Neurospora crassa OR74A: one gene and its partners. The protein of the gene in region 6 purifies or fractionates together with the protein of the main gene of each other region. This does not show direct contact. Links are inferred from orthologs where the notes say so. Each region holds a gene or a part of one and is shown on either strand. Other genes may lie near its edges. The genes, in order: NCU09380, NCU05235, NCU07795, NCU06272, NCU07839, NCU00925 and NCU08595.

What was found.
Region 1: the proteins of NCU00925 (region 6) and NCU09380 purify together in Saccharomyces cerevisiae (affinity purification with mass spectrometry; 4 studies listed by BioGRID, with this or other methods). This does not show direct contact. The link is inferred for Neurospora crassa OR74A from reciprocal best matches to the Saccharomyces cerevisiae genes NOP7 and PUF6.
Region 2: the proteins of NCU00925 (region 6) and NCU05235 purify together in Saccharomyces cerevisiae (affinity purification with mass spectrometry; 12 studies listed by BioGRID, with this or other methods). This does not show direct contact. The link is inferred for Neurospora crassa OR74A from reciprocal best matches to the Saccharomyces cerevisiae genes NOP7 and RLP24.
Region 3: the proteins of NCU00925 (region 6) and NCU07795 purify together in Saccharomyces cerevisiae (affinity purification with mass spectrometry, with the first as the bait; 4 studies listed by BioGRID). This does not show direct contact. The link is inferred for Neurospora crassa OR74A from reciprocal best matches to the Saccharomyces cerevisiae genes NOP7 and RRP15.
Region 4: the proteins of NCU00925 (region 6) and NCU06272 purify together in Saccharomyces cerevisiae (affinity purification with mass spectrometry; 8 studies listed by BioGRID). This does not show direct contact. The link is inferred for Neurospora crassa OR74A from reciprocal best matches to the Saccharomyces cerevisiae genes NOP7 and RRP5.
Region 5: the proteins of NCU00925 (region 6) and NCU07839 purify together in Saccharomyces cerevisiae (affinity purification with mass spectrometry, with the first as the bait; 3 studies listed by BioGRID). This does not show direct contact. The link is inferred for Neurospora crassa OR74A from reciprocal best matches to the Saccharomyces cerevisiae genes NOP7 and DBP2.
Region 7: the proteins of NCU00925 (region 6) and NCU08595 purify together in Saccharomyces cerevisiae (affinity purification with mass spectrometry; 16 studies listed by BioGRID, with this or other methods). This does not show direct contact. The link is inferred for Neurospora crassa OR74A from reciprocal best matches to the Saccharomyces cerevisiae genes NOP7 and RPF2.

What each region holds. Positions count from the first base shown.
Region 1 is NC_026501.1:3,514,632-3,518,809, reverse strand, and holds NCU09380 (pumilio domain-containing protein), read right to left. Parts: upstream 2,801-4,178; 5' UTR 2,626-2,800; coding exon 2,388-2,625; intron 2,313-2,387; coding exon 511-2,312; 3' UTR 285-510; downstream 1-284. Other genes in the region: NCU09381 (RWD domain-containing protein), read left to right, coding at 3,187-3,253, 3,325-3,941. UniProt on the Saccharomyces cerevisiae protein: RNA-binding protein involved in post-transcriptional regulation. Component of the ASH1 mRNP which transports the ASH1 mRNA to the distal tip of the bud, where the ASH1 protein is translated and targeted to the daughter cell nucleus.
Region 2 is NC_026504.1:5,664,218-5,667,573, reverse strand, and holds NCU05235 (ribosome biogenesis protein RLP24), read right to left. Parts: upstream 2,120-3,356; 5' UTR 1,970-2,119; coding exon 1,894-1,969; intron 1,810-1,893; coding exon 1,205-1,809; 3' UTR 501-1,204; downstream 1-500. UniProt on the Saccharomyces cerevisiae protein: Involved in the biogenesis of the 60S ribosomal subunit. Ensures the docking of NOG1 to pre-60S ribosomal particles. Activates and recruits ATPase AFG2 to cytoplasmic pre-60S ribosomal particles.
Region 3 is NC_026505.1:268,821-271,873, reverse strand, and holds NCU07795 (DUF1665 domain-containing protein), read right to left. Parts: upstream 1,874-3,053; 5' UTR 1,705-1,873; coding exon 679-1,704; 3' UTR 501-678; downstream 1-500. Other genes in the region: NCU07794 (2Fe-2S iron-sulfur cluster binding domain-containing protein), read left to right, coding at 1-239. UniProt on the Saccharomyces cerevisiae protein: Constituent of pre-60S ribosomal particles. Required for large subunit rRNA maturation, in particular processing of the 27S pre-rRNA at the A3 and B1 sites to yield 5.8S and 25S rRNA.
Region 4 is NC_026503.1:2,145,392-2,149,606, reverse strand, and holds the start of NCU06272 (mito ribosomal protein S16), read right to left. Parts: upstream 2,801-4,215; 5' UTR 2,639-2,800; coding exon 2,180-2,638; intron 2,122-2,179; coding exon 1-2,121. Other genes in the region: NCU06271 (hypothetical protein), read left to right, coding at 3,767-4,054, 4,129-4,215.
Region 5 is NC_026503.1:1,036,299-1,040,268, reverse strand, and holds the start of NCU07839 (ATP-dependent RNA helicase dbp-2), read right to left. Parts: upstream 2,801-3,970; 5' UTR 2,097-2,800; coding exon 1,981-2,096; intron 1,843-1,980; coding exon 623-1,842; intron 103-622; coding exon 1-102. Other genes in the region: NCU07838 (hypothetical protein), read right to left, coding at 3,130-3,181, 3,518-3,693. UniProt on the Saccharomyces cerevisiae protein: ATP-dependent RNA helicase involved nonsense-mediated mRNA decay and ribosome biogenesis through rRNA processing. Associates directly with chromatin, correlating with transcriptional activity.
Region 6 is NC_026501.1:6,705,681-6,709,841, forward strand, and holds NCU00925 (pescadillo), read right to left. Parts: upstream 2,732-4,161; 5' UTR 2,604-2,731; coding exon 612-2,603; 3' UTR 501-611; downstream 1-500. Other genes in the region: NCU00926 (hypothetical protein), read right to left, coding at 1-133; gpit-2 (glycosylphosphatidylinositol transamidase 2), read left to right, coding at 3,153-3,306, 3,389-4,161. UniProt on the Saccharomyces cerevisiae protein: Component of the NOP7 complex, which is required for maturation of the 25S and 5.8S ribosomal RNAs and formation of the 60S ribosome.
Region 7 is NC_026501.1:9,517,966-9,521,578, forward strand, and holds NCU08595 (ribosome biogenesis protein), read right to left. Parts: upstream 2,198-3,613; 5' UTR 2,096-2,197; coding exon 2,082-2,095; intron 2,016-2,081; coding exon 1,907-2,015; intron 1,837-1,906; coding exon 1,514-1,836; intron 1,444-1,513; coding exon 864-1,443; 3' UTR 501-863; downstream 1-500. UniProt on the Saccharomyces cerevisiae protein: Required for biogenesis of the 60S ribosomal subunit.

The DNA of each region.
Region 1 (4,178 bases), about 3.2 Mb from region 6:
TATTCGGTTTCCAAGCGGCACTTAGCCATCAAGTGACGGTGAACCCGATATATGTCGGTCTTGGTGCCGCAGTCAAAATGTTTGCACAGCACTTTGCCTCTACACGCCATGTTGATATGGGGAGGTTGTGTCCCTCGAAAATTGTGGTACAAGTGGTTCAATGTGAAGGTCGTATGATAATAAGGCCTTCCAAGGTCCGGAATGGCGAATATAAGAAAGTTGTCTCGCTCCTGTCTGGTTAATTATGATTTACCTCACTCCAAGTAGGCCACGGCCTGTTTCAAGCGTCATATCTGAACCATCAGGGAAGTCTGGAAGCAAGCTTTTCTCTATGCAATCATATATAACATGTCCAGACTTGTAAACAGGGCTATCAGTCAACCGCAAATTACGCGGGGCCCAACAAAATCGCATTGACAAAGTAAACAACATAAAAGGGGTATTTAGTCAACCTGTGGCTACCGTCCACTTTTGTCACTATAGCCATGCGACGCCTACAATTTCCTCAACCTAGGCATCGAGCTTCTCTAAAAGGAGCTTCGAGCCCTGGTTGCCCTTGGGGGCAGAAGCATTCTTGCCCTTCTTAGCCTTTGGCTTCTCCTCCATCTCTTCCTTCTTCGACGCCGGTGCTTCAGTTGCGGCCTTGATAAGGGCCTTCTTGTTGGACTTGAGGGTCTTGAGGAGCTCCTTCTTCGATGAGAAGTCGGAAGCCTCGAGCATAGCTAGCACCGTCCAAGAGCTAGGGCCGGTGGCCCATTGTACAATGTGGTCCTTGATGACGGGATAGAGAAGGTCGGCGAAGTTGAGCGGGGGGTCGACCTTCTGGATGCTGCCTGTGGCCTTGTCAAACCGGCCGCCAGCAATCAGTGTCTTGAACATGCGGCCACCGTGAATGGTTGTCGAGATGTGAGGGGGAAGAGCTTGGTAGGCATCCTTGGGCGCCTCAGCGTTGGGATCGCCACCGGCAGTAGAGGCAATAGCCTCCAACGCGGCCTTCTTATCTCCAGTCGCCGAAAGCAAAACATCAGTAACAAACTGGCAACCGAAAGAGGTGGCCACCAGGTCGGCGGGTGAGCTTGCGATGGCCGCAAGGAGCTGAGGCGACATGGCCGTCACCAACTCCTTACGCCTAACCTCGGCGTCCTTCTTGCTGGTCTTGGTGCGGATCTCGTGAATCTCCTTCAGAATCTCCAGGTCGGTGGCGTGGCTGGCAGGGAACAACGCTTTGGACATTCCCTCAAAGAGATATAATACCGTCGTGCGCGCGTTGAGGTCGTTAGCGAGAAAGATGACGTGCTCGGCATCCTTCTCTTCATTCTTGCCAAGAATCTCGGAGAAGATCGTCTTGGACGTGAGGACAGTGTCATCAAGGAGATCGTAGGCGGCGAGGATGATCGCGTGCGCGTGATTGTCACCACTCATGAGCTGGTAGGTGTCCTTGTAGGCCTTGAGCAGCTGCTTGCGGTCCTTGGCGGTTCCGTGCGCAAGGAGCAAGCACACGAGGCGGGCGCCAGACTTGGTGAATGCCATGTTTTTGAGCAAGTCGCCGGTCTCATCCTCCTTAATAGTCTCAAAGAACTCCTTGAACTCTTCGCTTTCGGGGTTAAGGTTGAGGAAGTACTGCAACAGAGCGTCGTGGAGCATGGTGAAACCAGTCATTTTCTTTTGAATGAGGCCATTGGCCATGTCAAAAAGGTACTTCATCGCCGTTGTCCTCTTGCTGGGCTCGTCAGCCAAAATCTTGGAGAGATCGCCAGTGACCTCGGTACCCTTGGGTTGCCTAAACAGAGCAAACTCGGGACCGTACCACTCGCGAAGGAGGTTGGCCTTTTGCTCCTTGGTCGCAACACCGCGGTAGACATCGTCCAGAATCCAGGAACCCTCAGCATGGTTGATGAGCTTGCGAACTTTGCCGTAAAACTCGGGGACGATGATGTCGCGGATCTCCTTGTCGTTCTGCACCAGAAGCTTGCCGATCAGGAACTTGGCATACCTGCTCTCGGCGAGCTGCGCATAGGTTCCTTGAAGTTCCTTCGCAATCTGCCTACGCTGAACCGGGGTGGCGTACTTGACGGCGGTCTGGACGGCACGGACAGCATCGTGCTTTAGGACAAAGTCCTTGATGCGGCCAGTTATGATGGTGAACAACTCCTCAACGAGCTGTTGGCGCTCCTCCTTAGGCACATGCGACTTGCGACGGAGCTTCTCCCACAGCTTCTTGGTACGGTGCACCTCATCGGCCAGTGGCTTCGCGTTCTTGCGTTCTTGGGCGAGTTGTTTTTGCTTGGCGTGCGCCTCCCTGGAGCTTGTGCCTGCGTTGTGTTAGTCAAATAACAGAGCGAGGTTCGGTCATCATGGGGCAGATATGGTAAAGAGAGACAACGTACCAGACTTGGTCTCGTTGGAGCCATTGCCGGACTCATTGGGCGTGGATGTTGTGGTCTCTCCTGTGTGGAACTCGGCGTCTGAGCTTTCATCGGAGGATTCATTGTCTTCGGCTTCGGCCTTGATGTGTTTCTTGCCAGAAGTGGTCTTTACTGCTTTTGTACGGCCATCCTCGTTATGCTTGCCGAACGCCTTTCTCTTTCCGCCGGCAGCGGCTGCTGAAGACGACTTGGTCGCCATTGATGCTATGCGATGTCTGTGTTGCTCCGGGATATGAAGGATTGATCTAGGTATGGGGGGCTCGTGTTGACGTCGTACTGGGTGGGCGCTGGTTCAAAGGTGATGGTCGAGCAGGAATATGTGAAAGTGCAGGTATTCAGACGGGAATCCGAAACTTTGGAGTGCCCTGTATCTGAAGCCTCTGAATTGGAAATTCTGTAGCACGTTTTCCGCTGAAAATTTCTGGATCCGCATCCTGGCATCTGCCGGGCGGTGAGAAGCTTTCCGGGGTTCTGTGGTGGGGCGACTTGATCGACACTGTCTAGAACTGTCCATTGATATAACAAGGAACCCAGGCAGGACCCCCACCATAGATTGAGCCGCGCTCGCGTTTTGGAGTTTGGCCTGCACCTGACGCTACAGTCACTGCAATGCCGTCTGGTTGCCCCTCCCGTCCTCTTCTCTAGGTTAGTAAACGCCTGAAAGTCAACATTGCCAGCACCCACTTTTGGAAGGAGTCTTTCACGTTTTATGTCGTCCAGCACACTGCAAACTTGAAAGGCGCCCTACCGATTGGACATCATGGGCCGCGAAGAACAAATTGAAGAGAGGGAAGTCCTCGACTCCATCTTCCCAGATGAGATCCAAGGTTCGATTGTTCGCCCACATCGGTTGCCGTTCAGGCATGGGCCTGTCCTAACCCAAGCTCGACTCGTCTAGATATCTCCGATACCGAATACCGGATTACTATCACGCTGGACATTCCTGATGATGATGCCGAAGAAACACCAAGCATGGTACTTACCGTACGGTACCCCGAAGACTATCCCGACAAGCCACCTTTCCTTGAGCTTGCGTCCGCCCCAAATGCGCCGCCCCATCAGTACATAAACATTGCCGACGATCGGTTCCAGCTGCTCGAAGGTATCCAAGAGACAATTGAAGAGAATTTGGGGATGGCCATGATCTTTACTGTTGTGTCGGCGTTGAAGGATGCTGCGGAGCAACTGGCAGTAGAGCGGAGGGACGCTGCCATCAAGGCGCAAGAGGAGGCCGCCCTTGCCGCGGAGCGCGAAGAGAACAAGAAGTTCCAGGGCACTCCCGTCAATCGCGAAACCTTTTTGAAGTGGAGGGAGAGTTTCTTGCAGGAACTGGAAGATCAGAGAATCAAGGAGGAAGAGGAAAAGGCGGCCGAGATGAAGAAGGCAAGGATAAAGGAGCCTGTCAAGCTCACGGGCAAACAACTCTGGGAGAGGGGCTTGGCTGGGAAGGGTGATGAGGACCTGGAAGGCGATGATGACGTCCCCGTGGAAGAGGTCCAGAAACTCACGGTTTAGGACCGTTAGACAAATCGTAAGCCCTCTATCACGTTCGCCAAAATTATCTAATTCTTTGCTGTAGGCTTTAATCCGCTCTAAGTATACCTAACCCATGTGAAAACCAATCCTGAACATTACTTTTTACCCCTCTTAACCGGACTCCAGGGTATGCCATAACAAGTTTGCCTGAAAAAGACGCCTCAGCTTAAGGTGGTATGGTTAGAAGACAAACGAGACGAAGCCAGTTGGGGCCAT
Region 2 (3,356 bases), on a different chromosome or scaffold from region 6:
ACAGCAATGGGGATGATGATCATGTTGACGATGTTAACGAGGTTAACGATATAATGGGGTAAATATATGATGAGAGAATGAGATGGAACTTGATGATGATGATGATGGGGGGTGGGGGGAGGGAAATAGAGGTGGGTGGGCTAGACAACCTGACAAATGGGGAAGCAAACTATAATGAGAAACTTGGCTGTGCTTTGTGCTTACGGTTTGGCTGGCTGGCTAAAGCAAGGCGATCGGAGCATTAGCATGCGAAGGAAGGGGTTGGTTTGGTTTTGTCGGGTCTTAACGCTTATAATAATACAAATGATAAAAGATATAATACTTTGTATTTAGTTACCGACTTGAACCAACTGTGTCTTTTAGGTGTTGTTTAGAGTTGTTGTGTTGTCGACTGAGTGCAAGATGGAATCAACGAACGGGTAGTAGTCCAAGATTGACCTTGGATATATCCTTGGCTAGGATACCTAGTCAGGTCTCGAGCTACAGAGGTCAGTCACGTTGGCAGAAGACAGAAACGAGTAACTTGTCGAGTCAGAAAGTACTGAGGATTACTACTATAAAACAAGACAAGACATGGCAGAAAGAAAAAAACAAACAAGTACTTCATATTGTGGGTCTCCCCGTGTCTATTAAACGCCAAATTCGCCGATTCCAATAAAACCGAAAATATGCTTTGCTACTAAAGGTAGACTGATTGATCCCCCCCTTGAAAACCATGGTTCTGAATATAATGAATCTTTCCAATGACCTGTAGCGACCAACGACCAACCAACCAAGCAAGGGGTATAAGCAAGCCCCGAAAGCAGCCATCGCTCGGGGGGGAGGATTGTCTGTCTGTCCAAAGCCACAGTTACTGTTTTTACAGTTAGAGTATTGGCTGTTGGTCAACCAATTGCTGTCTGTCCTGTCCTCTTTCTGGTCGTTCCGTCTTTATACACCAAGACCCGTTCGTCGTAGTTGGGCTTTGTTGCTGGTGTCAACTAGGCAGGTCTCAGTGGCGAGGAAAGGCCGCCGAAAAAATACAGCAGAACCCTCCCCCGCATAGGGATATCGACAGCCGCGGGAGCGAGTTCGTCCGAAGAAAACAAGCAAACAACGAATGATCCCGAGAAAAGAGGTGGCTGGTTTCGGTGTTGGTGATGGTGGTGGTGGTGGTTGGCGGTGGTGGTGGTCGCGGTAGTAATAGTTACAGAGACTCGGGCGCTCAGTCGGTATCCATCTCGTCGTCATCGTCCACGTCCTCGAAATCGTTCTCGTCATCGTCATCCTCATCGACCAAGCCTCCACCAGCGACGCGCTCCGAGATCTCTTCCACGCCGCCGTCTGTCCTGACACGGAGCCTCTTGACCTCGCCGCCAAACGCCTTGGTCTTCTTGCTGGCAGCCTTCTTGGCCAGCTCCTCGCGCTCGAGCTCCTCGACGTCCTGGCCCGTCTCCTGGGCGAGCTCGGCCAGCCTCCTCTTCTCGGAACCGCGCAGGCGGGGGAGGAGGTGCTCGTTCTCGGCGACGAGCTTGCGGGCGGCGGCGACCTCGCGGGCGCGCTTGCCGGCCATGCGGCGCTTGTAGAAGATGCGCTCGCGGCGCTGGCGGATCTCCGAGATACGCTCCATGGCCTTGACCGTCTTGGCGAAGAGCTCGCGGTCGTAGCGGACGGGCACGTTGCGGCGGGCGGCGAACTGCAGGGTGCTGTCGACCACCATCTCCTTGCCGGCGTTCTTGCGGTAGGCCTTGGTCCACTTGAGCTTGCGGGGGTTGCGCTTCATCTTGAAGTTCTTGTGGCATTTGGAGCGGCAGAAGCGGAAGGACTTGCCTGTAACATTAGTTGTACCCTGGTTAGCAATTGGCCTTGACGGAGAGGTTGATGATGGGGAACTGAAGTATGACAAAAACATACCATCGTTACGCATAAAGGTAATGCCCTTGGAGGGCCAGGCCGGACGGCCGCAAAAGAAACAGGGATCGACACGCATCTTGACGGGTTATGTGGGTGGTTGTGGTGGTGGTGGTGGTGGTGGTGGTTGAGGAGAGAAGCAGCGAGCCGGGTGAGGATGGGCTCGTTGTCTGTTCGGGAGGGGGGGGAGGAGAGGGGGAAGCAAGCAACAAAGTCAACAACAGCGAAACGGTCAAGGGCGCCGCTTCTGAAAATTTCTGGATGTCGGTGTTGGAAAAGTAAAGTGGGGCGGAGGGGACGCTTGGCTTATCTTAGCGCTATCGTGCTATCAGCCGACAAGACTCGGGTTAGGGTTGAGCGTGCATATACGCCAGCCCAGACGGTTCTTTTCTCTTGATTTGACAATGATGGTTCCCGATGATCGATTCCTCGATGTAAGTTGGCCGGCAATTGCGGCTGCTTACTTTCGATGCTCTCTCGACAAGCGATGGCCATGATGCTCAAGTCGACGGGCATGTTTACTTTTCCCAAATCAGTATATTCCCCGATCCATCCAACAATACTTCTTGAGCTCACGATCTTTTCGCTTCGCGACAATGTTCAGTCACCAAGATGGCATTGGTTTCTGTTAACAGGACTCTCGCGGACCCTAACATTGCTAGCTCCACTCTCTTTCTTTCCCATCAGTTACTGCTAACGATTAAAGTCTGACACCCTCTACAATGTTCAACACCGGGTATCATCGGTGTTCGTGACTGCAATTTTTACCATGTCTGAAGAATCTATTCGAGTTACAACTGAAGGCGTCAAGTTCTTCTCGGAGACTGTGGCGAAATCGGATCTTGAATTGTCTGTCATTTCTCACAATGATCAAGACCTTCTGTGATGGAAACTCCGTCGGCAGTAGGCCAGTGTCTGTTGAAGGTGACTACTTAGGCTTTACACAAAAAGAGGTCTTCCTTGACACTTGGTTGATATAACGCATCTCCGTCTCTCAGATTGAACTTGAAGTGCAATGGACTTTCCTCACTCCTTCCCCAATCACAGTGCTCCTTTCATCTCACTCACAGCGGAGTTGAGGGTCGGGTGCTGACCGAGAGCCCCATCAGATCCACAGCGCTAACTCAAAGATGCGGGGACGGAATCCGGGGAAAGCGTCAAAAGTGGAGTCGGGTTCCCCTGAGGCTCCACCAGACTAGCTCCTGCCCTGCGACAGTAAGGGTCCCGAGATCGTTCTTTCCTGATACAAACCGTACACTAAGTATAGGAAAGTCAAGATGTCGCTATCTCTTTCCAGTTTCTTGTCGGTAATTATCCCATGCGGTTCACCGTAATCTTCCTTCTCAAACTTGGTATCTACTGAAATGTACAAAGGATCAAAATTACAAACCCAACACCTACTGCTTCCTCCCCCAGCCACAGCACACGCGCACCGGACCACTCCTCGCTCCGTGGTGCCATTAGAC
Region 3 (3,053 bases), on a different chromosome or scaffold from region 6:
GCGCCTGCGGCGGTTCCTGCGCGTGCTCGACCTGCCACGTCATTGTGCAGGACCAGGACATGTACGACCGGATGCCGGAGCCCGACGACGACGAGAACGACATGTTGGACTTGGCGTTTGGACTCACCGAGACGAGCCGGCTGGGGTGCCAGGTGCACATGACCAAGGAGTTGGATGGGTTGGTGGTCAAGTTGCCGAGCATGACGAGGAATTTGCAGGCTAGTGATTTCAAGTCCTAGACCGTGCCGTCATGGAATGAATGACATGGGATTGGGGGGAGGTAATATCAGGCGATGAAGGGTTGAGCATGGAGGAAGAAGAAGAAGAAGGTAGAGGTGAAGGGGCAGGGGATTCACTGTGGTGTAAAGAAAAATGGAGACGGACGACGGAATATATATGGCACAAACACGACATCTATTCCATTTCTGTCGGATTGTTGAGGCGACGGCGTTCAGCGCAGAGTTTATCGGATATCTGTGATGGGCAATGTTCATGTTGATGGATATGACGGATTGGCAAGAGCATGTTGACTGTTCATACTTCTGCATGGGGCTTGTACGTTGTTCAACTGTTTGCCCCAGATCAAGGGCACGGGGTTGTATATAAGAAAATAGCCTAGACCTTGACAATATGCAAACACAATAAACAATCACCCCTCTACACCAGAATGCAATTCCCTTAAGCCTCCTCCAAGCCACCCTTCTTCAACCCCCCACCACCGCTCGCAATCAAGTCCAAGAACCCTTTCCTCGACATCTCCGTAACCTTCTCTTCCCTCCTCTTCACACCCACGATTCCCTCCTGCCTCGCCGCCCGTTCCGCCTCTTGCGCCTTGACCTGCGCCGCCCTAACCGCATTAAACAGCTTCACCACACCCCTCTGCGCCGTCTTCTTCAGCCTCCTCTCCGTCTCCAGAATCTGACCCGTCGTCTGCTCGCCCTCCTTTCCATCCGGAATCTCCTCGATCTCGCCCGTCTGGATGTTGAGCGTCCTAGTCTTGCTAGGGACCAACACATCACGCACCCGACCCTTCTCAAAGGCCAGACGCTTCTGCTCGCGCAAACGCTTGCGCGCCTTGGCTTCGAGCGCTGCGTCGACCAGGGACTTGGCGGCGGCTGCAGACTCGGCGGAGCGCGCGACAATGGGGTCGGCGCGTCGCGAGGCGGGCAGCTTGGAGGAAAGCATTTTGGTGATGGAGGTGGCGAAGGCGTCGGGATCGTTGCGCTTGGATTTGGTTTGTCTCCTGTTGCCGTTCTCATCACCCGAGCCGTCGAGGTCGAATTCATCGTCGAGGTCGGAGCCCAGGTCGGAACCGCCGTCTAGGGAGTCGTCCTCGTCGTCTTCGGAATCTGGGGCGTCTTTGGCGACGAATTTGGGTTTTGTTTGCGACTTCTTGGAGGACTTGTTTGATGGTTGTTCGGCTTCGGAATCATCAGAGTCGGATGCTTGCTCTTCGTCTGTGGATGCGCCATCGTCGGCAACGAGGTTGTCTAGGTCTTCGTCGTCCGAGTCGAGGAGGTGGGCGGGAACGGCGGAGGTGCCGGCCTCCTCGTCGCTTTGGTCTTCAACATCTTGCTGCTCGTTGTCGGATTCCTCCTCTGAACTGCTGTGGTAGGCGGCCAATGCTTGCGCCTTCTGCTTCTTGGACGGTCGGACGGGCTTGCCCTTGCTGCTGGGGCCTTCTTTGCGCTTGGTGATGCCCATGGTTGTGATTGTGTGTGTGTCTGGTTTGATTGGATGTAGGTTGTATGTGAATTAAGCAGATGGAATAGTGGTTGTGTTTGGGATCGATTTGCCAGCTGATCAAGCCGAGGGGGAGAAATACGGGCAGAATTGTTTATCGCGGATTGGAGGTGCTGCCGAGATGGTCGAGGTTCGGAGTGCAGGTCCCTCCATTCGAAACTTCCCAATTGCTGAGGTGCTCTCCACTCAGAAATTTTTGGCGGTCGCGGCCGGCAATATGCCCTGCGTCCCTGTCCCTGTCTTGCGTCAACCCCACACTTGGTGGAACCAAGGGCAGCCCAGCGGGGATGAACGGTGGACCCGCTCTGCCGTCATCAGAATCACCCCTAACCCTAGTAAGCCGTGACTTCAACGGCTCAATTCGACGACAACCTCTTCCCATGACAACTCGACATTGACATTATCGAACAGTATGAAATTGTCTACGTGTTTCACATTTCGCGCTTTGGATCGATACGATCTCAAGCATATGGTCTCAGGACACGTTACTCACAAACGGGCGGCAGCGACGAGACCTAACAAAGTTGATCTGCCCCTGGACCGAACCTGAGCACCTCGATGAACAGCGGTCGGCATAATGTACAGACCTTTGTCTGAGCATGTTGCACTTCGGCGACCAATTGAATGTTGAAACTTTTGAACATCATTTACAGTCGAACGATGCATGACGATATACCTGAGCTCGATTAGGTAAGTAATGCACGTCAATTCCGGGTTTTACAGGTTAATTCACGTTGGACATACGCAAGCGGAACCTAGATGAATCCGACTGCCACCGTTGAATTGGTTCGCATTACATCGATCGCTACGGCTCCATGCACGATACCTCTTATCTTGCTGTACATACCTTCCTCTACAGAACACAGCTTCTGCCATCCAAGAGGCACGCTTCTGCAGTTACAGTACATGTACCTCCCTACTTTCCCGAGCCAGGTTTTCCTGACGGAGTGACCAGGTTCGATGTATTAGAAATCCGTGGAGCATCCAAGCTGCTACTGCCTGCCATCTCGCGCCATTTACTAGTAGGTAGTGACACGTGGGTGAGCGATTGGAGGAAGAGTATTGGATCGGTGCCCTCAGGTCCTGAACTTTGAGCTTCGCACCTTCCTGTCGCTAGGTCGCTTCTCCCAACTTTGCGTGTAAGTGATTGGGTCACGGTCTCATAAAACACCATTGCCATGGAGCAGAAGCAGTTCGATGTGAGCTGTAGAAGCAAAGCACGTCATGAACTTGTTCATTTCCAGAGATGGAACAACGCCAAGTGAAAAGGTGGGATATCAGCACACGGTTACGGGTTCGTCATGATATCC
Region 4 (4,215 bases), on a different chromosome or scaffold from region 6:
CAAGGCGGTCAACTTGCCACCGAACTGGACGAAGACAGCCGTAGCAGTGATGTTGCGAATATAACCAGAAACCTCATCTCCGACGCGAGCACCATCAAGGGTAGTAAGGAACTTGCCTTCCTTGCTAGCCTTGACAAGGCTGGGCTTCTGGGAGAGAATGATGGAACGGCGAGCCTCGTTCTTTTCCAAGATCACCAACTCGGCAAGAGTCTGGTTGACGTGAATTTTCTTGAGGGCAGACTGAGTCTTGCTGACCGACTTGTCCGTCAAGTGAGCGACGGGGAGGATGGCCTTGAGAGAGCTATCGGCAAGCTCAACAAAAACATCGTCGTCAGTTTTCTGCGTGACCTTAGCCGACACCACATCACCGATCTGAAGCTTCTTGAGGGCCAACTGCTTCTCAAGACCAAAGGCAGATGGGTCCTTGCAAGAAACAATAAGCTTGGCGGCATCGGGGTCGAAGCTGATGACGTAGATGCTGACAGTCTGGCCAACGCGGAAGTGCTCCTTGGGATCCTGAATGTAGGCCTCGCTCATCTCAGAAACTGGCAAGAAACCACGGAGCCTGCCGTAGAACTGCACAATCGCACCGTGCTGCAAGACGTTGATGATGGTACCGAGCGCCTGTTGGCCAACAGCAATTTGCTCATACGATTGGATGGCAGGAAGATCGGAATTGACGAGCGTCTTCTTGAGAGTAAGGCGGATCTGGCGAGAGGCAGCGTCAGTCGAGAGCACACGCGCCTTCACCTTCAGGCCTTCCCTGAACTTCTTCTCGGGGTTCTGAAGGTGAACGTCAGCGAAGTGCATCTCGGGGACCAAGCCAGAGATACCGTCAGCAATCTTGACAATAAGGCCACCAACACCGGCGGCGTTGACCACCATCTTTTCAACCACACCAGAAACAACTGCACCGACAGGAATGTCCTCGATGCGAAGGAATGGCTGCTCAAGAACACTCTTCTCCAAGGAAATGAGATACATGCCATCAAAGGCGTTGTAGCCGACAACCCTACCAGCGTGAACAGATCCCACCTTATAGGGTCCGCTGTTCTCGAAGAGGGCATCAACCTTGCCATCCTTGACGCGGGAGATGTGCACAAACCCAGACACGCCCTCGACACCAACATCGACGTAAAGACCGATCTCAGGCTCGACCTGCTTAACGGTGCACTTCTCCACGATCGTCGAGTGAGGGAGAGCCTGCAATGGCACCACTGGTTGGTCGTCCTTGGAAGCAGTCTTTGGCTTCAACGAGGTAACGTGTTTTAGTACAGAGATACCCAGCTTGGGGTGCTTTGCAGTAGGGAAGTTGCAGATGACTCTGGCCTTCAGACGAGAGCCGACCTTGTATGTGTCTTCAAGATCGATGCCATCCGGACCAGCGCCAGAGTGAACCAGATCAGCGGTGACATCCAGCGATCCCATAATCTTGCCAACAATTCCGTGGCTGGAAACCTCGGACACGAGCACGTCGGCGGCAGTACCGGGGAGGAATGTGTCGATGGTGGTAGCAGTCGAAGGGACGTTCTCGACGTTGCCCATGGTTTCACCCAATGTGGACAACTGAACGACCTTGCCCTTGGCGTTCTTGGTGACGATACAGAGGAGGACGGCACCTGGCTGCAGAGCCTCCTGGGGGATGCTCTTGTCGACCTGCTTGCGAGCAAGGAAACCTTGCAACTTCGAATCGGCGATCTCGATGTCCATAACATAACCGTGGTCCTCCACACTGGCAATGGCGGCCATAACTGTGCTGTTCACAACAACGTCTTGCTCCGCCATACCGGTGTTGGCGAGAGAAGGTTGAAGGGAGAGTTCGATATGGCGCTTGGCCTTTCCAGGGGTGTGTGTAGAAGCCTCGTCGACCGTCGATACAACGTAGGCGCGGACATACTGGCCGATCTGGAAGAGGGATTCGAGGTCAACGTCGTTGTCGTTCTCGTCTTCTGACTCTTCGGCATTGTCGTTACCGGCGCTGGCCTCCAAGCGTTTTGTTAGGGGGGCGGAAATCGCAGTGATGGGGACATGGCCGATAATATTGTTGGGTAGAGCAACGGCGATGTCGAGAGAGTTGATGGCGCAGACGGAACCAAGGACCAAGGAGCCCTTTACCAGACGCTGCGGACAGTTAGTACTTGGATGATAGGACTGAACCCATGAGTGTTCCGGCGCATACCTTGAAGTTGAGACTTTCAACCTTGACGGCGTCCGCATCGGGCTTCGCGGGTGTGTCGTCGGACTTTGACCTCTTCTTGGACTTCTTCTGCTTGCCCTCCTTCTCACCAGCCTTCTTGGCGGTGGCCTTGCTGGATTGCTCCTCGAACAGGGCGTCGTTCTTGGCCTGGACTTGGATTTGCTTGTATTCGAGAGGTGTCAGGATGCTGGCGCCGCCTCTGGGGAACATTGGCTCCTCTTCCTTGAGCAGCGTAGATGTAGCCGGGGCGGTAGGAGCAGGAGGAGCAGGCTTGTCGGACTTGGGAGCCGGCTTGTTGCCCTGCTTGCCCGTCTTTGCGCCCGCCTTGCTGCCGGCATCGTTGGACTTTGGTCTCTTTGACGGTCTCGATTCGGAGGCTGATTGTGTTGATTTGTTGACTGGGGCGCCGCCCGGGCCTTCCTTGCGCTTTTGCGCACCCATTGTGAACTGATGGGTATAAAGAAAGGACCTGATGGATGGACGGATGTGTTTGGAGTTGCAATTGGAGAGATACCCGCACTGGATCCCTCGTCCCTTTGCCCGCCTTCACACTTCAGAATGAATCGACAAGCACTGACAAAAACTGACCCAGGCCGCTTCCACTGTCCGCTGCCGAAAATTTTTGGTGGGTCCGTCGCCGTTCACCGTGGCCAGATAACGATAAGGAATGCGGTGAGCATCGGCTACGATTCTGCCATCTCTAGGTACGCGGGCCGCGTGCATGTCGGTTCGTTGCGGGTTCTGAGTCTTGCGGGGTTCCCCTGTAGGGGTACTAGCAGCGCCTGTCTTGTGTCCACGAGTGCCACGGCGTCAGCTGACAGGACGCTGTCACGTTCATGGCCAGGTACGTACCGAACCTTTTGCACGGGCGGAGACGGGCAGCCAACGGGCCAGCCGCATGCGTTGCAGGGAAGTACACGGTAAGTAGAGGTAGGGTACTGAAGGCCGTTAGGTACCTACACCCTAGAGATAGAGGGGATTGCTGAGAACGTGCTATCAATGAGTTACCTATTGGCCATTGCGAGGTACATATAATTCTCCAAGGCGGGATGTACAATTGTCTAGAGGTACCTACCTACACTTAACATGTCGTCTGATGTTAGGATCGTACGGTATTGGAATATCATTCTAGTCTGATGGAAGAATGAATTTGATACTACACTAGACCATCAAGTAGGTACTTGTAATAACATCAGCATTCGTTCACATGGTCCCCCTCTCCAGGTAATAAAGTGTAGGTACTTCGTTACCTATCCGGTTCCCCTGGACTGTGCGCTACCTGGCAAATGACGTACATGCATCCGAGCTGGAGCCTTTGATAATGGATGAAAGCGCTCCCTCCCCGCCGGCGGTACCCGTGTAGTGTAAGTAGAAGTACACATCGGATTTGTAGCCTGAGCGGTGCCTCGTCGGCTTGTCGACTTGTCCCTACGGTATAGGCGCCACGCAATACTCGTCGCATGCCCATTTTCGATCCTTTCAACTTGACGAAATAAACGGCAATGTGGCCAAAGTTTGCCCTATAATCTTAGGGGACTGGAATCTGTTAGGTTGTTGGCCTTGCTCGCCATGGTCTTCACCATGGGTCGTCGAAAAAAGGCGAAACCAAACCCTCCAACCGAGCCGGCGGATGGTAGTGCTGTCACCGAGTCCTCAACGTCCACATCCGATATGCCGCCGAAATCGTCCTCGAGCCTAGCAGCCTCTATATGGCGTTCAAAAGCCGTTCCAATGCCGACCGCTTCGAACCCACCTTCGTCGACGACGACCTCGACACCTGATAATGCTCTATCAACATCCCAGCCCAATGCGACCGCAAATACAACTCCTATTTCGAGCAAGCGAGGGCTGAAAGAGGTAGCCTATTTCTCTTCAGCCACCATATCCAGCCTGTTTAATGCCTGTTACACCCGATGCTAACAGACTCGCAGCCCCAGAAATCTCGGAGTTGGTATGGCTCATGGCCACGCAAATCGACACCCTCGACACAAGTCGCCCGTGAAACAATCATGGGCGGA
Region 5 (3,970 bases), on a different chromosome or scaffold from region 6:
TACCCTTCGCACCGGCACGACCAGTTCGGCCGATACGATGGATGTAATCCTCGGAGTTGTTGGGGTAGTCATAGTTGAGCACGTGAGTAATGTTGCGCACATCTTTTTTTAAAGGACCGTGGTTAGCAATAGCAGGGTTTGGAATAACGACATTCCAGAACGGACGGAGAACACGAATATCTAGGTATGTTCTGTGATCCTCTGGTAGTACTTCTCTCCTTGGCAGGTGGGCTGTCCATTGCGAAAAATATGCCGGGTTGGGATCCAAGGTTCCAGAGATCCTTGGGCCATGCATGCAAATCCCCTTGGGAATCTTGGAGACAAGCTTGACGGGAATCAAGAAATGCCTACTCCTCGCTTGTACCACAACTGGGATAAAAAGGTACAATTGAAGAATCACGCGGGCGTAGCATAGTCCACTGTTTCTGCTACGTCACGAACCCAAGACTCCACTCAGATAGACCAAGTCGACACGAGGTCAGGCAAGTTCGCGCAATCAAGAGAGCCCCTAGACATAAGAGTAAAGCACAAGCACGTACGTATGCTGGAAGTCGCCTGAGATGGGGGAGAGAAGAAGGGGGGAGGGGTTTGGGCAGGGCGGAGGGGTAAGATGGATACATACCGATACCACGAGAAGCCACGTCGGTGGCAACCATGATAGGGCTCTTGCCAGTCTTGAACTGGTCCAAAACCCAGTCACGCTCGTTCTGTTGCTTGTCGCCGTGGATGGAAAGAGCGGGCCAGCCGTCCTGGCGGAGGAAGCGGGTGATGTCGTCGGCGACACGCTTGGTGCCGGTGAAGATGAGGATCTTGTTCTGGTTCTCGCGGCCCTCCATAATCTTCTCAAGATGCTTGATCATGCGATCACGCTTCTCGGACTCGGAAACAACCTCGACGATCTGGGTGATACGGTGGTTGGCAGCCAAATCCATGGAACCGATGTTGACCTGGATGAAGTCGGTCAAGAAGTCGGCGGCCAAGTTGCGGACCTCCTTGGGCCAGGTAGCAGACCACATGAGAGTCTGACGATCAGGGCGAATCTGGCCGATGATCTTGCGAATTTGGGGCTCGAAACCCATGTCCAACATGCGATCAGCCTCATCGAGGACAAGGTAGGTGACACGACGGAGGTTGGTCTTGCCAGACTCGAGCATATCGATCAAACGGCCGGGGGTGGCGATACAGACCTCGACTCCCCTGGAAAGATCGCGAATCTGGGGACCCTTGGGGACACCACCGTAGACGCAGGTGTTGCGAATGCGGGACGACTTGCCGAACTTGGAGATTTCTTGCTGAATCTGGACAGCCAACTCACGGGTAGGGGCGAGGATGAGGACGATAGGGCCATCGCCGGGAGCGAGGAGAGGCTGAGCGTTGATGTGAACGATGGCGGGAAGGCAGTAGGTGAGCGTCTTTCCGGAACCGGTCTCGGCAATACCGACGACATCGCGACCAGAAAGGGCCATGGGCCAGCCCTGCGACTGAATGGCAGTAGGAGCAGGGAAACCCTGAGCCTTGACCTCGTCCATAACGTAGCGAGGGAAACCAGCCTCGTCGAAGGTCTCGACAGGCTTGGGAACGTTGTTACCGAAGACGGCAATGGAGTGGTCTGCGCGGAACTTGTCGACCTCAGCAGGAGATCGGTTGGCGACGCTAGGATGCTCTTGGTAGAAGGACTTCTCGAACTTGGGAAGAGCGCTCATGTCCCAGTTCTGCTTCTGCAGACCAGCACCGAGAGCAGACATCCTATCACCGCCGCCACCACCACCGTAGCCGCCGCCTCCGTAGCCACCACCACCGCCGCCATATCCTCCGCCGCCGCCTCCGTAGCCATTCGAGCCACTGTTGAACCAGATGTTAGCAATTTGATCTTGAAATGCAAAGAGAGAGAGAGAGAGAGAGAGAGAGAGAGAGAGAGAGAGAGAGAGAGAGAGAGAGAGAGAGAGAGGAAATGAGCAGGTTCGCGCTAAAACATCATACCCGTGTGAGGAGTAGTTGTTAGAGTAGCCGCCGCCATTGCGATCGTACCCGTTAGAATATCCACCACCACCGCCACCGCGGCCACCGTAGCCGCCGCCGCCGTAAGATCCGGACATGTTTGCTGGTTGTTTAAGAAAAGGTTGAAAATTGAAGATCGGTTGTTATTGGGGTTGCTGAAGGGTAGACCGAAACGACGAGCAAACAAGGCCTAGAGGCGCAAGGGTATCGATTGTCGGGAAAAGAAGACGTCGGAAAAGACAGACGTCTAGAGACAAGAACCAAACGACACGCGTGAAGTGGTTACAAGTAAGCAGTCCGACTGGTTAAAGAAGGATCGCGGATGAAGAATCTTGCAGAATCGCAAGAAGTAGGCGGGAAGGGATATTGGAGATGGAGGGTGGGTGGAAGGAAGGAAGAAAAGGGCTGCTGCGAAGGGTGAAGTGCAAGTTTTTCTGGACGGAAGTCGAAACGAAAAAAACTCTGGGGGCACTGGACAAGGACCCGTCACGTAAGGTTAGTATGGGAAAAGAACCTGACCAAAGGGAGATGTCGATGGAGGATTGGTGGGTTCCGCTGTGCAGTGCTAGTGGATGTGAGATGCGGATCCTGTGCCAGACCCGACTCGCCTCCAAGCGGGAAGAAAAAGTCTTTCTTTTTGTTGGAGGCGGAAGGCGCAACGCGTCCCTTGCGTGCAAGTGCCCCAGAAAAATATTTTTTTTTTCTTCCCTTCCCTTCAGTTCACTGCAGTCGTTACAGCGAAGGCGGATTTGAGGGGACCGGGCATTGCCGTACCTGTCCCCCAGACTTCCATGTAGGGGCGGTCTGGCACCAGAGAAAAAAAAAACTGGACCCGACTGGCAACACTTGGCGGGCCTGCATTCTTTCACTGTTGACAAGCACAGATAAGCACAGATAAAGCGCCGATAAGGCATGTGTGGCCTTATCAATCAGGCAGAAGTCCACCTTTGCGGGAATTGGCGTCACCTGGTTCACCGACTCCGCTTTGCCAGAAGGGTTCTCGTTCTTGCTTCACTGGCGGATTATGCTTGGCAGTCTTTGCTGCGCGTCGCGGTTGTTGGGCAATCATCCGTCGTCGCTCACCTCAGCTGTCAGGGAACGGAAAAGAGAATCTGTAATCTTGACCACATTCTATAGGAGTTGCCTGTTCACATACATGTCCATGCTCGATGCTAGCATGTTTCTACACGTGTATACAGCCGTACTTAGGCCTCATATTGCCATCCATCTCCCACCTCATCTGAAGACTTTGGGAGCAGCAACTTCCAGTCCGTTCCGCAGCCGACCAGGATGTACACTACTGCGTACACAAAGAGTGGCAATAAATCCATCACCACCGCCTGGTCTAGTCCACCACCATCAGCCACATTCTCTCAACACAAACCACCACTTCCATGTCCTGAAACATTTTTCGATCACTACACTACTCACGACCTTCAAGCCCCTTCCCTGACTTGCCCTCTTGGTTTCTTTCGGACAACAGCAATCTCTCCGTCCCCTCCAAACTCCCAAAACTTACTCATCTTCTCCTCTCCGCCCCAACTCCTCCACCTCCTGATCCAAACGCTCCAGCACCAGCAGACTAAACGCTTTCTCTTTGCTCCTGCAATTCTTCAGGTCCTTTTCGAACTGCTCCATGCCCAAGTGAATGGTACGGTGTTGCTGGATTAAATCATGGTTCGCTGCTTCTTCCATGTCCTCCTTTGGCCCCCCCTGATACTCTTCTTCCGTTTCGCTTACGATGCTGATGCTGCTGCTGATAATGATGACGACGTTGACGATTATGGGCCTTGATGGCAGCTCTCAATTGAGGCATTTGCTTTGCTATAAGGAAACCATGCAAGTCTTTGATGGATTGGTGAGCTTTTAGGTAGCGAGTGACGGAGCCCGCATTCTATGGGTTGTCGCTCAGTCAGTGCTGCTGTGCCTTGACTACCGTTGTCACAGGTACAAGCTGTGTCGAGCGTATTCC
Region 6 (4,161 bases):
ATGTGGAGGGGGCCCCATTCCACCGATTGGGGCGGGTTTCGTGCAGTTCATCTGATGCGATGGAATTAATCTCTTCAGTGTCCTTATCCCAATCCTCGTCGCCGGAATCTTCTTGATTCAAGTGTGAAGACATTGCATGGCCCAGTTTAGTGGGTGCTCTTCCCGCGTTGGCAGGGTTGTTGAGTGCAAATTCTGGTGATCAATCACTAAGGACGGGAGTGACAAGAGATTGAAGGTCGAAGAACCGCACTGACGTACGAAAGCATCCCAGTAGTAGTACCACAGCAACAAGGATGGAGAAACTGATGAACCTCTGACTCCTCACTCAATTCTTTTACTTTGTACTCTCACCTTTCGTTGGTCCTATTTTCGGTTCGTTCCAACTTCTCTTGGGCGTTACGGTTTGGTTCGTAGCGACCCCTAACCCTCAGACGAAAGCCTCGTGGGCGCTCGTTTTCATGTCACGATTATTCACATTTGCATCAGTTCAGGACGACGAGTAGGATTCAAAACTTGTCGATTACACAAAAAGAAAAGAGAAAAATGAGCCTTTGGTATCCCATTTCAAAACATAAAGTGCTAAAAAATTACGCCTTGCCAGTGTTTTAACCTTACGCCTTCTGCGCCTTTTCCTTCTCCAGCTTTCTCCTCTTGGCGCGGAGCTTCTCGTCCTGAGCGCTCTTCTTGTTGTTGGTATACTGCATCTGCTCAAACAGCTTGCGCTTCTTCTTGCTCAGCATGCCCTTGGCGCGCTCCAGGTCCTCCGCCTCCTCGCGTGCCTTCTTTTCAAGAGCCTTGCGCTGTTCTAGCTTGGCTTTGGTCTTGGAGTCTACCTTTGTATTCTGCACCTTCTTGCCTTGGAGCTCGGCTTCTAGCTCAAGCTGACGCTGGAGGGTCTTGGACTCCTCCTCATCTTCCTCAGCATCCTCCTCCTCGGCCTCCTCGGCATCCTCCTCGTCACCCTCCTCCTCTTCTTCATCGTCCTCGGCCTCATCAACATCCATGTCGTTTTCGACATCGGAACCATCCTCAGCATTACCCTTCTCGGCATCCTCGAGGTCGGCTTCAATAGCCTCGGCCTCGGTTTGCTGAGCCTCAAGGGGCAGAGTAGGATCGTACTGGCCAGGGGCGGCCTTGACGAAGGGGCTAAGATGGGGAGGGAGAGCGGCGCCAGGAGCATAGAGCTCAGGGCTCTTGAGTTCCTCGTCGTTGACGCAGTCCCATACCCATTGGGGCTGGACATATATCCTGCCGGGGTATCTCTGGTTGGGTCCGACCTTCTGGGCCGTCTGATTGTCCTCGCCATCGCCATCCTCGTTGGTAGCGGCTTGTACGACTGGCCTGTCAATGATGTGATGGGTGATGGAGGGATCCGACTCGTCATTTGTGAAGGCACCCTCGCCGAGGACGGAATCCCAGCCTATCCTCTTGCAGCCAAAGGCACGAAGAATGAACTCGAGAGGCTGGCGGGGGGTCTCACGGGAGAGGTAGAATGTGAAGTTGGCGAACAGCTGCGAAGGGTCACTGCTGCTGTACGCCGGCTGAGGAAGAACATCACCACCAGGGGCAACTGGCTCGAACTTGTCGATGGAGTCTGTGGGCTTCTCCTCATCGTCGGCCTCGGCATCTTCCTCGGCAGTCTCGTCGCTCTTGGACTCGTCCTCCTTCAGTTGCTTGATAATCTTGTCAACCTCAGCCTGGACCTTGGGGTCAGGACCCTGCTGTTGTTCCTCCCCGTTTGTGACGGCCTTGGTCTCGCCCTGGGTGGCCATGTTGACACCCTCCAGAGAGAAAGCGCCGAGCTCAGCACCGTTCTCGTCCTTGAGCTGGTCGAACTTGGGAGGATACTTGAGGCCGATCGAGCTGTAAAGTCGGTAGTTGACGAATCCAAGAAGAGTCATGTAGAACTCGACGAAAGTGCCCATAATGCGGAAATCGACATCGCCGACGATCCTCTGGTTGAACTTGTAGGGAACGAGCCAGAGAATATCCTCGCCCTGGATGTTGGCCTGGTAGTAGATACCCTTGATCGACAGGAACGACTTGCGCAGGCTGTGGGAAACAATAAGGTAGTGTTGGAATTCGAGGCAGAGACGCTCGCAGCGGGCGATCATCTTGGCGGGAACCGCGCTCGTGGAAGGGAGGTTGGCGAAGAGGAAGAGCATGGACAAGCAGTCATCGAGATCGCGGAGCGCGTCGTTGAAAGTCGGGTAGCGCTCACGGATGACGTGGTTGAGAGTGTACCTGGGCTTGCCAGTGGCCTCGGGGCGGGCAGCATGGCGCTCGAAGCGGGCGGCATCCGAAACATCACCTCTGCCAAGAGCACGGGAGATCTTCTTCTCGAGCACCTTCTGGTCACGGAACTTTTGAAGAAGGGGCTCGTGGAGGAGGTACTGAATGTCCTTGGTGTAGTAGAAGGTGGTCGAGGCAGTGGCCGACTTGGAAACCTTCTTCTTGTTACGAGGCTCGCGCGGGTAGATACCCTTCCAGATGCAAAGCTTGCGGAAGTCGGGAAGGCTAAGCTGCAGCTTCTTCACAGCCTGTGTGCGGGTGATGTAGTTCTTGGCCGCGCCGGCCTGGCCCTTCTTCTTGATTTTTGGCATTTTGGGGTGTGGTGGTGGTGGTTGTGGTTGTTGGGTGTAGGTGGAAGAGTGAGAGAAGGAGAAGAGGACCAAGGATGGATCTCTTCAGTCTGCAGACTCGATCGTTATCGAAGCCAATTGTAGGTGGGGGCGCTCTGTGCACTTGCAATCAACTTTTTTTCTGACCCTCGCGGTCCTGAACTTTTTATGCCACTTCCCACCGCCTGAGCTGATCAAAGATAAGATAACGTAGCGGATGGAAAGACGGGAGGCATCAGATAGGCACAGATGAGGCTACTAGAATACATACTGGGCCCGTCTGGCCCAGATAGGTTCCCGCTCCCGTCTGGATTGGATTCCAGAACCCCTTGTCCCACAGGGACCCGCCAGCTGTGGAGGCCGGGCCAGCTGTCGGTCTGCTTTGGCGGGGACAGCGATTGACAAGGCGACCTAACGTGCTGGGCGCGACTCCTGTATAGCGCAACTGGACGGGCATGTCGTTAGAAGTAACTTGACCCTGGGACAAGTTCGACATCACAGCTCCCACCTCGTCGTATGGCGAATTGAACAATGAATGGCGGCAAGGTAACGTTGAGGAGGACGGCTGGCTTATACGCCGGTGCTGCCGTCCTGCGACTTGCCCTCTTTACTCTGTTCCCCGGTCTTCCAGACCTCCTGACTGGCCGTGTCGAGATCTCAACGCCAGTAACAAGCTTCAAGCGCCGTATGTTGTAGCTTTTGTTTTTCTCTTCGGCATTCGTCGCATCGTCTCGAGGAACACAGGTTTGCTAACTACCAAAATCTAGTCCAAGAAGGCCTCTTCCTGTATAACCATAACGTCTCTCCTTACGATGGCGGCGTCTACCACCAGGCGCCCCTCTTGCTGCCCATCTTCAACTTGCTCCCGAGCTTCGCGGCGTTTCCCATCTTCACGTACCTTCTCTACATCGCTATCGATATTCTGAGCGCCCATGCTCTTTTAAGGATTGCAGAGTCTGGCGAGGCCAGCTCGTCTGCGCGCTTCACCTCCCCGCGCCGTGACAAGCGTTGGAGTGGTGCCATCATTGCCGCGCTCTTCCTGTTCAACCCCTTCACCATCGCGACATGCATTGGGCGTTCGACCACCGTCTTCACGACCTGTGCCATTCTCCACGCCGTCGCCAATGCCATCTCCGGCAGACCCTTTCACGCCATGGTCGCCCTAGCCTTCGCATCATACCTCTCCATGTATCCGCTACTCCTCCTCCCGCCTCTCATTCTTCTTTGCTATGACAGGCAGAAGTTGCCCGCTACCGGAGCGCCCAATGCGTGGATCAAGTTTACCGCGACCATGGTTATGGATGCGTTTGGTGCTCTGGCAGTGCTTTTCCAAATGTCGTTCTTCCTGACCGGCTCATGGGAGTTCCTTAGTTCCACCTATGGTGTGCAACTTACACTGTCTGACCTGGCCCCCAATATCGGCCTGTGGTGGTACTTCTTTGTCGAGATGTTCGACTCGTTCCGTTCATTCTTCTTGGCCGTCTTTTGGCTGCATTTGTCGTCATATGTTGGCGGGTTGAGCGTGCGCCTTCGCCAGCAG
Region 7 (3,613 bases), about 2.8 Mb from region 6:
ATCTCGAGTCTTAACTCTTTGGTGGGACTGGCTTTAGTCTCTTTATAGACAAGCATAAGGAAGCCATCATTGATTGATACAACTCTGCTCTAACAAACACAATTTCTGGTACAGGCATTTCATTCATAACCTTGTAGTCAGTCAACATATACACTAATCAATCGTTCTCGGCATGGATATTTGGTTTCATAATTTTGTACTAAATCAGTCTGCAGACTGCCTCACCGACACCCCTTATAGACGTTTCCAAACCAAAGATCGAAACAGGGAATAGTTCATAGGTTTTCCTATGGTTGTACATGATTATGGCATTGTCTTTTTTCTATGATTATAGATAGTTGCAAGGTAGCAAGGTAGCAAGGTAGCAAGGTAGCAAGGTATCCAGGTAGAAGAGGGAAATAGCATGAGTGCCATGTGATAGTAGGCAGCGAGTGCTGACAATACTAGATTCTTCCAAACAAAGCTGTAGCGGCAAATTCGGCCGGTCGATCGGTTGATCCTATGGTCCCATATGTTGGTTGGTATAAATATCACGTATATGCTAGATAGATGTCTAGGTCTACAAGCTTTGGCAAGGCAACTTCACGAACAACCCATCATCCATCAATAACTCCAGCTTTGGTCATCTCTTCTTTTCTGTTGATGATCTGATCTGGCATGAATGTTCATCTTCCCCAAGAGCAGCAGCAGCCAATGATATAAGATAAAGTAAAGTAATAAAACTAAAAACTCCCAAAAACGCCTTGTGTCTTGGTGGATGATCGCAACAATTGTGAGAGAAAAAAGATTAAACCTCCTCCCTGCCTGCCTTCTTCTTCATCCCCTCAACCCCTCATTCTCCCGTCTCCCTACTCTTGCTCAACTCAAAACTCAACGACATCCCTCGCCTTCTTCTTCCTCGGCCCCACGATCCTGTCACTGACCTCCTTGACGCCCTCCATCGGCATATCCGCATCATCAAAGTCCTCATCCACCACATCCCTGCTCCTCTTGAGACCCTTCATCTTTCTCGTCTGCAACTCGCTGAGATCCAGCTTGCCCATATGGATCCTACCAATCTTGTCACCGATGCTGTCCATGCTGATGTTCTTCTTGGTGCGCTCCTCGTTGGTCTTGGGCTTGCGCATCGCAGCCTTGAGCATGTCCGCGTCGGGCTGCTGGAGGCGACCGAGGCGGAAGTCCATGCGGGGGCCGTGCTCCTCGACTTCGACTCGGGGGAGCTTCTGGCCGGAACGCTTGGTGCGGATCAGGTAGGCGCGCAGGTGGAGGGTGGGTTTTGTCGAGGGGTCCGAGGGATCGGTGGAGGAGGAAGTGGGCTCGTCGGCGGAAACGACAACGCAGTACTGCAGACCCTCAACGTCGATCTTGTCTGAGGGCTCGCCGCGGAAGAAGTCGATGAGCATGGATTTGGCGGTGGTGAAGGCGTTGGGGACGGGGGATTCGCTGTGGTACTCGGTTAGCTGACGTTCATTCACTACTCCTTCCTCTTTGTCACAAGAATCGGGGGACATACAAAGCAGTACCGGCGAACACCATCAAAGGCTTGGTGCCTACGGGCACCTTCTTGGTCTTGAACTGGGCAATGCTGCGGAAGGTCTCGGGGTCGAGGTAGAACTCGAGCATGTCGAGCATCTTGTAGTCGAAGGTGCGGCAGAAGGTGATGGTGTGGGGCCTCTTCTTGCTGCTGGAGCCGAAGAGGATGAGCGAGGTGTCGTTCTTCTCAGAGAAGAAGGTCAGGGAGCTGGCGTCCTCGAAGGGGTGGACGGGGTTCTTCTTGTGGAAGCGCTTGGCGTGGGTTTGGCGCAGCGAGTAGAGATCTTGCATGGCATCTTGGGTCTGCGGACTGTATTAGATTTTGATGATACCATCATATATAGGAGGAGAGGATATGGAGGAGGTGACATACGACTTGGCTGCAGGTGGTGCCGCGAAGGAAGAGGGCGGTCTTGGGGTTCTCATTGACCTTGGGGGCACGCTTCTCGAGCGCCCTCTTGGAACGGGCTGTCCGCGGCTTGCTGTGCGGAGAAGAGAACTGTCAGCTAATGTTCGGTATGTTCCATTGTCATGATCGATTGACGTACACTTGGCGGAGCATTTTGGCGGTCTGGTTATGCGATGACGGTAGTGGGTGGATTGGATAGGTACCGCAAGGTGGTGATGTGGACTGGGGACTGTCTCCTTCACCTGCAAATCGTCGTCGTGATGGTCGAGCAAAGAAATTCCAGAACGGCGCTTATCGATAAGAGGAGACCTTGAACTCGAAATTTTGTGGGGCAGGTGGGGTCAAGATTGTCCGCTCGTCCACTGGGCGCTGGCTTTCCCCTGCCTGTCGTTCAGGGGTTCACGGGCTGTTAGGTTCCATTCCATTTCACGCCTCAACGTCACTGCAACGGCAACCAAAATCATTTCCATTTCTGCCGTCTCATCACAATTAGGTTGGTGATGGAGTCAACCTTGAGTTCCATATTCTTGTTCTGATCACTCGATAATCACTTGCTCTTTGGGAAACAAGCATTGAGCAATATGATTGCCAAGTCAGCAACATCACAAAACTCTGGCATCACTCTTACAAGGTCAGCACACTTGAGAAGATTCTGAATACACGAAGCCAACATATTGGGATGGTGTTCTTCTACACTTCGGGTTCACAATACAGATTCCTTAAAACCGTTCTACTCTGACATAAAACCAGATTTCTCCAGTCATTGCTCCCGGCGAGCATCAAGAATGCTCTCATCCACCTACTACGGACCTACCTGGCCTGTCGTTCTCTAACACCATGAAGCAGTTCAGTATAGCTTCCCTCCTCTCACAATGATCTATTTCGCCATGTCCCCTCTCTCTCTCGTGGTCGTCTTGACTGGACCATAAATGTAGGATATCCATCCAACCTGATGAGACTCCCCGGTCTCTTTCCCCATCACGTCCAAACAGCCCATACCCATCCCATCCATACTTTGCATGTATCGTACAACCTCCGGAACGCATCCCATTCACGTGGTGGCTTCTTTTACCGTTGTTCCATGGATCCTCGGCACTCCTCCTTTCACCGCCTCCGCCTCCGCCGTCACTAGGTATGTATGCCATCGGGAAGCTACCTACCTACTTTTCAACGGTTTTGAAAAAGGGCGATTGCATTCTCGTCAAGCCCAGCCCATGCCACTGAAACTGAAACTTAAACTGTCCGCAGCTGTATGTATGTATGTACATGTGGAGTGTTCGGAGACTCGGGCATTAGGAATGCATTTTCGAAAAGTTCTATGCAGTTTCCCGCGACTGAGAAGCCTGGGATGCAAGTAAACTGTCGTGACTCGTGAACTCGTTGGAAGCATGTTCCCGTGAGGGTGTGGTGAGAGAAGGAGGTTTGGATGCGGGTTGTTCCGTGCAGGCGCTCGGGCCAGAGACTCGGACTAGAGAGGTAACTAATATCGTGAGGTTGATGGAACGAGTCTTGAAGACGGGGGGTCTCGATGATGGTGGGCTATCATGGTACGATCATCCTGAAAAGGTTTTGGTCGTTCACGGCTATGTTTCTTCAAATGGCGTCAAGAAAAGTAATGGCAAAAGGCATTTTGTCGCTTGGTGATGGGGTTCTTCGATGAACAAATCAACA